Linked DNA regions of Macaca fascicularis. The protein of the gene in region 1 binds, or shares a complex with, the protein of each later gene. Links are inferred from orthologs where the notes say so. Each region holds a gene or a part of one and is shown in the gene's direction. Other genes may lie near its edges.

Region 1 (5,499 bases):
GTGTCATGCAAACCCAGTTTGGGTCTCTCTCCCTCTCCCCACAAACCCCTGTATCCCAGGTTTCAGCATATGGAGCTAACTCAATGACCCATCCCATAACTTGTTGCAGTCCATCTCTGGTGATGGCCCCTCTCTGGGGTATCACCTGGGTTTCGGCCTCAAGCACACGCAGGCGCCGGCTGGCAGAAGACAGCAGGGTCTCAAGCTCCAGCTGCAGGGTGTCCAGCTCCTCGATGCCGATGCCATCATCCTCGGATCGCGCCAGCACTGCCGTGTAGCGGGGACAGACCTTCAGGTGATCCACAGACTTGAAGTCATGGAACTGCAAGGGGCAGTCTTTCAACTCACTCATGGCCCAGGATATGGGGATCCTGTGGGGCTGGAGAGGACAGGGCCATTGATGGGAGACAAAGGGGTCTGAGAAAAGCCCAAGGGCTTCTTACCTCCAGGGACAGTCTCAAGCAAGCCAGGCTTCAGTCCCTTACTGACAAAATTGATGGCACAGTTCCTACTCACAGGGCACTTAACTGTGTACCAAGCTAGGCGCAAAGCACTTTATCAGCTTATCTCACTTAATTTCTCACTCAGCACCATGAACAAGGACCGTTGTGATCTCTTTACAGAGAAAGAAACTGAGACTCTGTAAGGGTGGGTATGTGCCTATGCTTCCAAGATGCAATTTGAACCCCGCTATATTGAGTCTGCACCCCTGATCACCATGCTATATTACTATGCATTGCCTTGCCTTTCTGATGCTCTTTCCTTCCCTTCTATTTCTCTTGGGTTCTGCTAAGACTTTGAGTTCCAAGCACCCCATTCTTACCATGTTCTCTGGGACTCTTGGCCTCTTTTCTTATCCTACTCCACCTTTCTCCCTTCTCTAGTCACTAATAGTGGTTTAGAACGTGGGCTGGTAAGCCAGACAGACCCGGGTTCAAGTCCAGGCTTTACCATTCTCTACTTATGTGCCCCTGAACATGTTGTTTAACCTTTTTGAGTCTCAGTTTTTCCATCTGTAAAATGGGAACAAAAGAAGTCTCGGTCTGTTTCCCCATTAAAAGTCTGAATCTGAAAAATGGGGATAACAACGGTACCTACCTCCCTGGGATGTTCTGAGGATTAAGAGATGATGCCCGTCAAGAGCCCAGTTCAGTGTCTGGCACAGAAATGGGACTATTTAATGGCTGGCCCCGCCCGGGGGTCGTCCAAATGTCCCGCCTTCAGAGTCCTCGTTCTCTAGGGACACCCTAGCGCGACCCCCGCCCCCTCTACCTCCTCACTGCGGCCTCCTACGGCCCCAGGGCCGCGGGAGGGGGCGGGGAGTTCCGGTCGACGGGAGCAACCGCCCCGGAACTGGCTATGGGCGGGCCCCTTGCAGTTGACGCGGGGGCGGGGAGTCAGCGAGGGCGAGCCTACTGAAGTTTGCCGGGGGTGGGGAGAAGGTGGGCCTCGAGCAAGCCCGCTAGAGGTGGGGTGCGGGTGGTTGGCCTCAGGCGCGCCCCAGGGCATAGCCCGGGGCGGGAGGCGGGAGGCGGGGCTTGGCGGCGGAGATCTCGGCGCTGCAGTTAGCGCCGCTGAGCCCCAGGAGCTGCGGGTAGGAGGGGCGAGAGAAAGGATGGGGGCACAGAACCGGAAGAAACGAAGGGCTCCTCCGCTTCAGCTTGTCCTAATTTGGTGCCCAATCTGAAGCTGGGCTGTACCATTGCATACCTGGGGGGAGGCTGTGGCAAAGGTAACAAGAAGGCCGAAGGCACAAAGGGGAGCTGCTCCCATTCCTGGAGAAGCTTAAGTAGTGACTCGAGTGCAAGAGTTTAAAGATACCGAGACAGCCCTAGGTGGAAAACTTCCGGAAGGGCCAAGCGTTCGCAAGGGCTCCCTATCCCGCTCAGAGCATAGATGGTACCATCCGGAAGTCCGGGCGGAGACAGAGGCTGCGCTTCTCGCGAAAGGGCAGGCATCGCGGGGCTGGCCACTTCCGTACTTCCGCTTTCCGGCCCAGCCAGCGCCCGCGATGGTGAGAGAGCCGGGCCCCCGGCCAGGGACCCCCAGCTGTTCAGCCTCAGGGCAGTGGGTCGGTGGGAGATGTGGCTTTGCCGCAGGGGCGCGGGGCTGAGGGATGCCCGGGGGTTGTGGGGACACCATGAGGGTGGGAGAAAGAGGGCGGGGGCCCGAGGTGAGGAAGGGGCGAGTAGGGGTACTCCCTGGTTTGAAGCGGGCCTTGCGGCTTCGTGATCAGCCTTCCAAGCAGGTAGGGGCTTTTACTGAGCCCTGGAGGAAGCTGGAAGTGGGGCTTCCTAGGCTCTTTGGAGCGTTTCGAGGGTACGTAGTCGGCCTCTTAGCCCGTCGAAGGGCCGCTGAGGCATGTAGCGGGTCCATCTGCCTGTCCACAGTAGAGCTTCACTAAATACGCCCTTTGTCTTCTGCCTTCCTGACCCTACAGTTGCTTAAGGCAGGCGGCCACACTTCCTTATCCCACTCTTGGTACCTCCAGCCCTGCTTCCACCCCACTGGAGGATCTCTCGTGTTGCTTCCATTCAGGCCCCTCCTGGTCAGAACTGAACTGTGTCAGCCCTAGTGTTTGTTAGCTGTGATACTGCTCATCCCTCCCTTCCTGAAAGTCCTCCCTTTTTCATACATGTGGGTATTCTTGGGAGTTGTGACTTTGGATGACCACCTCCCTCATCGTCACACCTTCCCTGGTGATACCGATCTAGTCTGCTGGCTTCGATGACTTTCTTCACTCTGATGACTCCTAATCTGGCTTCTCAGCTCTCTTTGAAGGTTTGCCTGGGTATCTTGAAGAGACCTTGAAATTACACCTCTAGTTCAAAACTCATCTTCCATTCTAAATTTGCTCTTCCTCCTGAGTTCCCTATCCTGGCAAACTTTGTGAACTCGTATCCCTGCTAGAAATCTGGATTTTTTTTTTCTAATGGAGCACATGCGTCTTGATTTTTAAAAATTTAAGTTTTTTGAGGTATTGTATGAGACTACGTCTGTTTTATTCATGAAAGGACAGGCGTCACGGAGCCAGTCACCTTTTTTAGGTTTACTGTCTATAACTATTGCCAAAGGCCGGGCGCGGTGGCTCGCGCTTGTAATCCCAGCACTTTGGGAGGTCGAGGTGGGCGGATCACGAGGTCAGGCCATCCAGACCATCCTGGCTAACACGGTGAAACCCCTTCTCTACTAAAAATGCAGAAAATTAGCCGGGAGGGTGGTGGTGGACGCCTGTAGTCCCACCTTCTCGGGAGGCAGGGGCAGGGGCAGGAGAACGGCGTGAACCCAGGAGGCAGAGCTTGCGGTGAGCCGAGATCGTGCCACTGCACTCCAGCCTGTCGCTCCAGCGACAGAGCGAGACTCCATCTCAAAAAAAAAAAAGTGTTGACAAAAACTTGCTGGGTATGGTGGCATGCACCTGTAGTACCATCTGCTCAGGAGGCTTAGGCAGGAGGATCACTTGAGCCCAGAAGTTCGAGGCTGTAGTACCCTGTGATCACGCCTGTGAATAGCCACTGCACTGTAGCCTGGACAATATAGCAAGATCCTGTGTCTTAAAAAAAAAAAAGTCAAGTTATGTAACCACTACTACAACCAAAATACAGAATATTTCCATCACCCCAAAAAATTCCCTCGAGCCCTTTTGTAATCACACCTTTCCTCCTTCCCACCCCCGACAACCACTGATTTTTTTAACCCCTATAGTTTTGCCTTTTTCAGATTGTCATGTGAATGGAATGCTTTAGTATGCAGGCTTTTAAATGTACCTTCTTACCATAGTACATGTGAGAGTCAACCATGTTGTGTGTATCAATAGTTACTCTTTTTTATTGCTAAGTAGTATTTAATTGAATGACCGGACCATAGTTCGTTGGAAGTTGTTTTTTTCTTTTTTTTTTTTAAAGACACAGTCTCTCCCTGTCGCCCAGGCTGGAGTGCAGTGGCCAGATCTCGGCTCACTGCAACCTCAGTCTCCTGGGTTCAAGCAGTTCTCCTGCTTCAGCCTCCCAAGTAGCTGAGATTACAGGCACCCGTCGTGGCTAATTTTTTTGTATTTTTAGTAGAGACAGGGTTTTGCCATGTTAGCCAAGCTGGTCTTGAACTGCTGACCTCAGGTGATCCACCCACCTCGGCCTCCCAAAGTGCTGGGATTACAGGCATAAGCCCCTGGGAAGTTGTTTTTCAGTTCCGTTATCCACTCCATCTAATGTCAGTCCAACACTTGTGATACTCTTTGCTGGTGACACAGTCTGCTGTATGTCTCACTTCCCTCTCCAAATCATTCTTCACAGAGCTACCATGCAGCTGCAGTCATGAACTTCCTCCTCAGAAAGCCCCAGTAGTTCCTTACCCCCTTAAGAGAAAAGCTAAACTTGGTCTGGCATTCAAGATTCCCCATGATCTGACCTCAGTCTACCACTGCAGCCTCATTTAGTGAATCTAAAATGCTTCTCATATACAGAAACATTGTACTCATTACTACTCTGGAACTCTTGCTGTCCTTTTGTGTTACTCTAACCTTAATTATTTCTTTTGCTCATTTATTCTACAGGAAATGAGTAAGACACTCTACATGTTACGTACTGAGCTAGGTTGGAGGCTATATAGCTGTGAGTAAAATAAATATGGTCTGTTGACCACGAGGTTTACAGCCTAATAAAGGAGAAATCACTTTACAAAGGCATGAAGGAGGCCAGGTGCAGTGGTTCACGCCTGTAATCCCAGCATTTTAGGAGGCCGAGATGGGCGGATCACTTGAGGTCACGAGATTGAAACCAGCCTGGGCAACATGGCAAAACCCCGTCTCTACTAAAAATACAAAAGTTAGCCAGGCACGGTGCTGCACACTTGTAATCTCAGCTGTTTGTGTGACTGAGGCAGGTAAATCACTTGAACCCGGGAGGTGGAGGTTGCAGTGAGCCAAGATTGTACCACTGCACTCCAGCCTGGGCAACAGAGTGAGACTCTGTCTCAAAAATAAAATAAAAAAAAAATAAAGGCCAGGCACATTGGCTCACGCCTGTAATCCCAACACTTTGGGAGGCTGAAGTGGGCGGACTGCCTGAGGTCAGGATTTGAAGACAACCATGGCTAACATGGTGAAACCCCATCTCTACTAAAAATACAAAAATTAGCCGGGCATGGTGGTGTACACCTGTAATCCCAGCTACTCGCGAGGCTGAGGCAGGAGAAAGGCTTCAACCCAGGAGGCGGAGATTGCAGTGAGCAGAGATCGCGCCACTGCACTCCAGGCTGGGCAACAGAAGCGAAACTCTGTCTCAAAATAAATAAATAAAAATTAAAAAGATATGAAAGGCCGGGCGCGGTGGCTCAAGCCTGTAATCCCAGCACTTTGGGAGGCCCAGACGGGTGGATCACGAGGTCAGGAGATCGAGACCATCCTGGTGAACACAGTGAAACCCCATCTCTACTAAAACTACAAAAAAAAACTAGCCGGGCGAGGTGGCGGGCGCCTGTAGTCCCAGCTACTCGGGAGGC
Region 2 (4,719 bases), on another chromosome or scaffold:
TCATTGCAACCTCCGCCTCCTAGGTTCAAGCGATTCTCTGGCCTCAGCCTCCCTAGCAGCTGGAATTACAGGCGCACGCCACCATGCCTGGCTAATTTTTGTAGTTTTAGTAGAGACGGGGTTTCGCCATGTTGGCCAGGCTGGTCTCGAACTCCTGACCTCAAATGATCTGCCCACCTTGGCCTCCCAAAGTGCTGGGATTACAGGCATGAGCCACTGCCCTTGGCCTGGGGCCAGTTTTTTGACTATAAAATTTTTTTTTTTTTTAATTGTTTTTGAGACAGGTTCTCACTCTGTCACCCGGGCTGGAGTGCAGTGGCACCATCACAGCTCACTGCAACTTTGACCTCTTGGGTTTAGGTGATCCCCTCACCTCAGCCTCTGACTAGCTGGGACTACAGGTGTGCGCCATCATGCCCAGCTACTTTTTGTATTTTTTGTAGAGATGGTGTTTGCCCAGGCTGGTCTCAAATTCCTGGGCTCAAGCAATCCACCCACCTCAGCCTCCCAAAGTGCTGGGATTACAGGTGTAAGCCACTGCACCTGGCCTAAATTTGTGTAAAATTTGACCCAAAGTCCATGCCACATTTGATCAACTTTCATTTGTCTTCTCCACATTTTCTTTTTGGTTAAGTCAAGACATTGACATTATGGAGTTCTTTGGGAGCAAGTCAAATGTGAAATAGTTGCTTCCTCTTTTAGAGTAATAAATATTTCTGTTCTCAGCGGAGACCCTGAAGTGAAAGGGTTTTTAAAGATTAGCCAACCATATGGAGCAGCTCAGGCTTTCCAGGCAGCCTTGTTACTTCTCCTTCCTACACAGTGAAGGGCTGTTGACACAGATCCTTGGGAACCCCGGGACAAGAGAGAGCAGCCACTCAGACAAGCGTAGTGGCTCATGCCTGTAATCCCAGCACTTTGGGAGGCTGAGGTGGGCAGATCACTTGAGGTCAGAAGTTTGAGACCAACCTGGCCAACATGATGAAACCCTGTCTCTCCTAAAAATAGAAAAATTAGCCAGGCATGGTGGTGGGCACCTGTAATCCCAGCTACTTGGGAGGCTGAGGCAAGAAAATTGCTTGAACCTGGGAGGTGGAGGTTGCAGTGAGCCGAGATTGTGCCACTGCACTCCAGCCTGGGCAATAGAGCAAGACTCCGTCTCAAAAAAACAAAACAAAACAAAAAAGAGCAGCCGCACAGCTCAGAGTGGGGCTTGTGCCTTCCTCCCAGGGACAAATGGAAAAGGAGACTGAGGAGACTGTGCGTTTGGAGAATAGGAGTTTTGATGTGATAGTGGCTGTCCTACCACTGCATCCAGTAGATAATCAGAAGACAAAGATGGAATTCATTCATTGCATATCATTGTTATGTTTTGATAACTGTTTTTAAGTCTTCTTTTTCTCCCTGTAGAATGAAGCTGATAGGACCTTGATATATATAACTCTCTATATTTCTGAATGTCTGAAGAAACTCCAAAAGGTAATTAAACTTGGATGATTATATATCAGGAAAACAAATTGCTGAGAGGCATTTACCCTCCCAGTCATCTGGGATTTGTTGAGACTTTAAAGACAAGTAGAAAATATTTCCTCTGACTTACAGCATGGACTTAAGAGAAAAATTTGAATTTAGTTCTCTGAACTTGTAGTATAATTGACTGACACAAAGATAAAAGTAGTGATGTTTTAAGCCTTTGCATATATTTTCTCAAGACAGAAATCTTGACAGAGAAATTCCTTTTAATCCCTTGGCTCAAGGGTTCTTAACCTGGGGTCCAAGGATGGAATTCTTTTCCCTGTAAAATATGTGTGTGTGTGTGTGTGTGTGTGTGTGTGTGTGTGTGTGTGTGTGTGTGTGTGTGTGTATGTGTGTGTATATATATATATATATATATTTTTTTTTTTTTTTTCAGTGCAATTCCAAAAGCCAAGGTGAAAAAGAAATGTATACATTGGGAATCACTAATTTTCCCATTCCTGGAGAGCCTGGTTTTCCACTTAACGCAATTTATGCCAAACCTGCAAACAAACAGGAAGATGGTAAGAACAGGTCTCTATCCTCTCTCTATGGCACAAGAAGATTTTCTCCATCTGACTTCCTACCACCCCTCCTTTTCTTGCCTTGATTCATATACAGATTGAGAGTGAAATGATAGGAAGTACATTATCTTATTAGTCACTCTCACAAACAATTCTTGGCAACAAGGATGACATGCAGAAAATCTTTTGAACAAAAACAAATGTAGTTATAAAACTCTTTGGACTGTCATTTCTATTTCATATCCTGTTAGAATGTATAAAAATGTATTACCACAGTGAGCATACAGACCTGCAACCAGTACATTTGGGATGTATTTGCAAATACAGTTTTTTAAAATTGTTCTGTTTTAGAAGTGATGAGAGCCTATTTACAACAGCTAAGGCAAGAGACTGGACTGAGACTTTGTGAGAAAGTTTTTGACCCTCAGAATGATAAACCTAGCAAGGTAAGACCCTCTTCTTGCCTGCTTAATTGGTAAATCACCTTTTATCCAATAGCCACCATTGAACACACTAAGGTCTTCCATTGCAAGAATATTTTTAATTTCTGCATTGCAGTGTTGCTTAACTTCCAGTATGTGTCTAGTATGTAATATGAGTTTACTGAATCACACTAAATAATGAATTGCAGGCCGGGCACAGTGGCTCACGCCTGTAATCCCAACACTTTGGGAGGACGAGGCAGTGGATCACTTGAGTTCAGGAGTTCGAGACTACCTGGCCAACATGGTGAAACCCCACCTCTTTTAAAAATATAAAAAATTAGCCAGGCATGATGGCACACTCCTGTCATCCCAGCTACTCGGGAGGCTGAGACGAGAGTCACTTGAACCCAGGAAGTGGAGGTTGCAGTGAGCCAAGATCATGCCATTGCACTCCAGCCTGAATGACAGAGTGAGACTTTGTCTAAAAAGAGTTTATGGCCAGGCAAAAAGAGTTTATGGCCAGGCGCGGTGGCTCACGCCTGTAATCCCAGCACTTTGGGAGGCCGAGGCAGGCGGATCACGAGGTCAGGAGATCAAGACCATCCTGGCTAACACAGTGAGACCCCATCTCTACTAAAAAATACAAAAAATTAGCCAGGCACGGTGGCGGGCGCCTATAGTCCCAGCTACTGGGGAGGCTGAGGCAGGAGAATGACATGAACCCAGGAGGCAGAGCTTGCAGTGAGCCAAGATCGCGCCACTGCCCTCCAGCCTGGGCAACAGAGCTAGACTCCATCTCAAAAAAAAAAAAAAAAAAGGTTTATAAGAGATTTCAGACTGATATGAAATTTTATTATTAAATAAATGCGAATTCTATTGTAATTTGACTCCCACCATTCATTCTTTGTTGTCCCCTCTTGTTAGTGGTGGACTTGCTTTGTGAAGAGACAGTTCATGAACAAGAGTCTTTCAGGACCTGGACAGTGAAGGGAACCCGGGCAGCCACCGTCTCCAGAGCCCTGGGCAGCATTTTCCAGCGAGATGTACACAATCTTTTGCCTTTATTTCGTAAAGTTTTATACAGAAGAGAGAAGAGCATGTCTTTACTTGAAAAACTCTTGATCAGTAATTTGGGTGGGAGACAAGAAAATGGGTTATCAAGGGTGATTTGAAGTTTTCTGCAGCATTAAGCTGGCACTTAATAAGAATAAGTCATAATAAAGAAATTTCTAACATTCCATGTAAGAAAAACTTTATTGCCTGTCTTTGACATTCACTTACAATTTGTTTTAAGATAAAATTCACATTCCATAGTACCCTTTTAAAGTGTACAATTTACTTTTTTTAGTATATACATGAAGTTTTGCAACCATCACCACTAAATCCAGAGCATTTTCATCACCCCAGTGTAATGAACCTGCACACTTTAGCAGCCACCCCACCCCACATTCCTCCCCAAGCCCCTGTCCTTCCCACTCTCCTCCCAGTATTAATCTACTTTCTGTCTCTATGAATTTGCTCATTCTGGATAATTCATGTAAATTGAATTTTTTATACAACATGTGGCCTTTTATGTCCAGCTTCTTTGACTTAATGTTTTCAAATTCACCCATGTTAGAGCATATACATCAGTGCTTTCTTTTCTCTTTTTCTTTTTTTTTCTTTCTGTGTATGTGTACGCAATAAAATATACTAATATGGCTGGGCGCAGTGGATCACGCCTGTAATCCCAGCACTTTGGGAGGCCCAGATGGGCGAATCACCTGAGGTCAGGAGTTCAAGACTAGCCTGACCAACACAGAGAAACCCGGTCTCAACTAAAAACACAAAAATCAGCCGGGCTGGGCGCTGTGGCTCATGCCAGTAATCCCAGCACTTTGCAAGGCCCAGGTGGGCGGCTTACCCGAGGTCAGGAGTACAAGACCAGCCTAACCAATATGATGAAACCCTGTCTCTACTAAAAATACAAAAATTAGCCGGGCATGGTGGCATGCGCCTGTAATCTCAGCTACTCGGGAGGCTGATACAGGAGAATCACTTGAACCCAGGAGGCAGAGGTTGCAGTGAGCCGAGATCGTACCATTGCACTCCAGCTTGGGCAACAAAAGCGAAACTCCGTCTCAAAAAAAAATAAATAACTCAGCTGGGCGTGGTGGCACATGCCTGTAATCCCAGCTACTCGGGAGGCTGAGGCAGGAGAATTGCGTAAACCCAGGAGGCAGACGTTACGGTGAGCCGAAGGTTGCAGTGAGCTG

Evidence for each region. The genes of interacting proteins can lie anywhere in the genome.
Region 2: ARPC4 (region 1) and ARPC3 share a complex: the UniProt entries of both Homo sapiens proteins name them as parts of the arp2/3 complex. The link is inferred for Macaca fascicularis from reciprocal best matches to the Homo sapiens genes ARPC4 and ARPC3.

Annotation. Positions count from the first base shown.
Region 1 is NC_088376.1:148,053,728-148,059,226, forward strand, and holds the start of ARPC4 (actin-related protein 2/3 complex subunit 4), read left to right. Parts: upstream 1-1,887; 5' UTR 1,888-1,896; coding exon 1,897-2,064; coding exon of another isoform or gene 2,065-2,071; intron 2,072-5,499. Other genes in the region: TADA3 (transcriptional adapter 3), read right to left, coding at 146-352. UniProt on the Homo sapiens protein: Actin-binding component of the Arp2/3 complex, a multiprotein complex that mediates actin polymerization upon stimulation by nucleation-promoting factor (NPF).
Region 2 is NC_088385.1:117,307,727-117,312,445, reverse strand, and holds the end of ARPC3 (actin-related protein 2/3 complex subunit 3), read left to right. Parts: intron 1-1,410; coding exon 1,411-1,479; intron 1,480-1,912; coding exon 1,913-2,039; intron 2,040-2,390; coding exon 2,391-2,485; intron 2,486-3,388; coding exon 3,389-3,451; 3' UTR 3,452-3,715; downstream 3,716-4,719. UniProt on the Homo sapiens protein: Component of the Arp2/3 complex, a multiprotein complex that mediates actin polymerization upon stimulation by nucleation-promoting factor (NPF).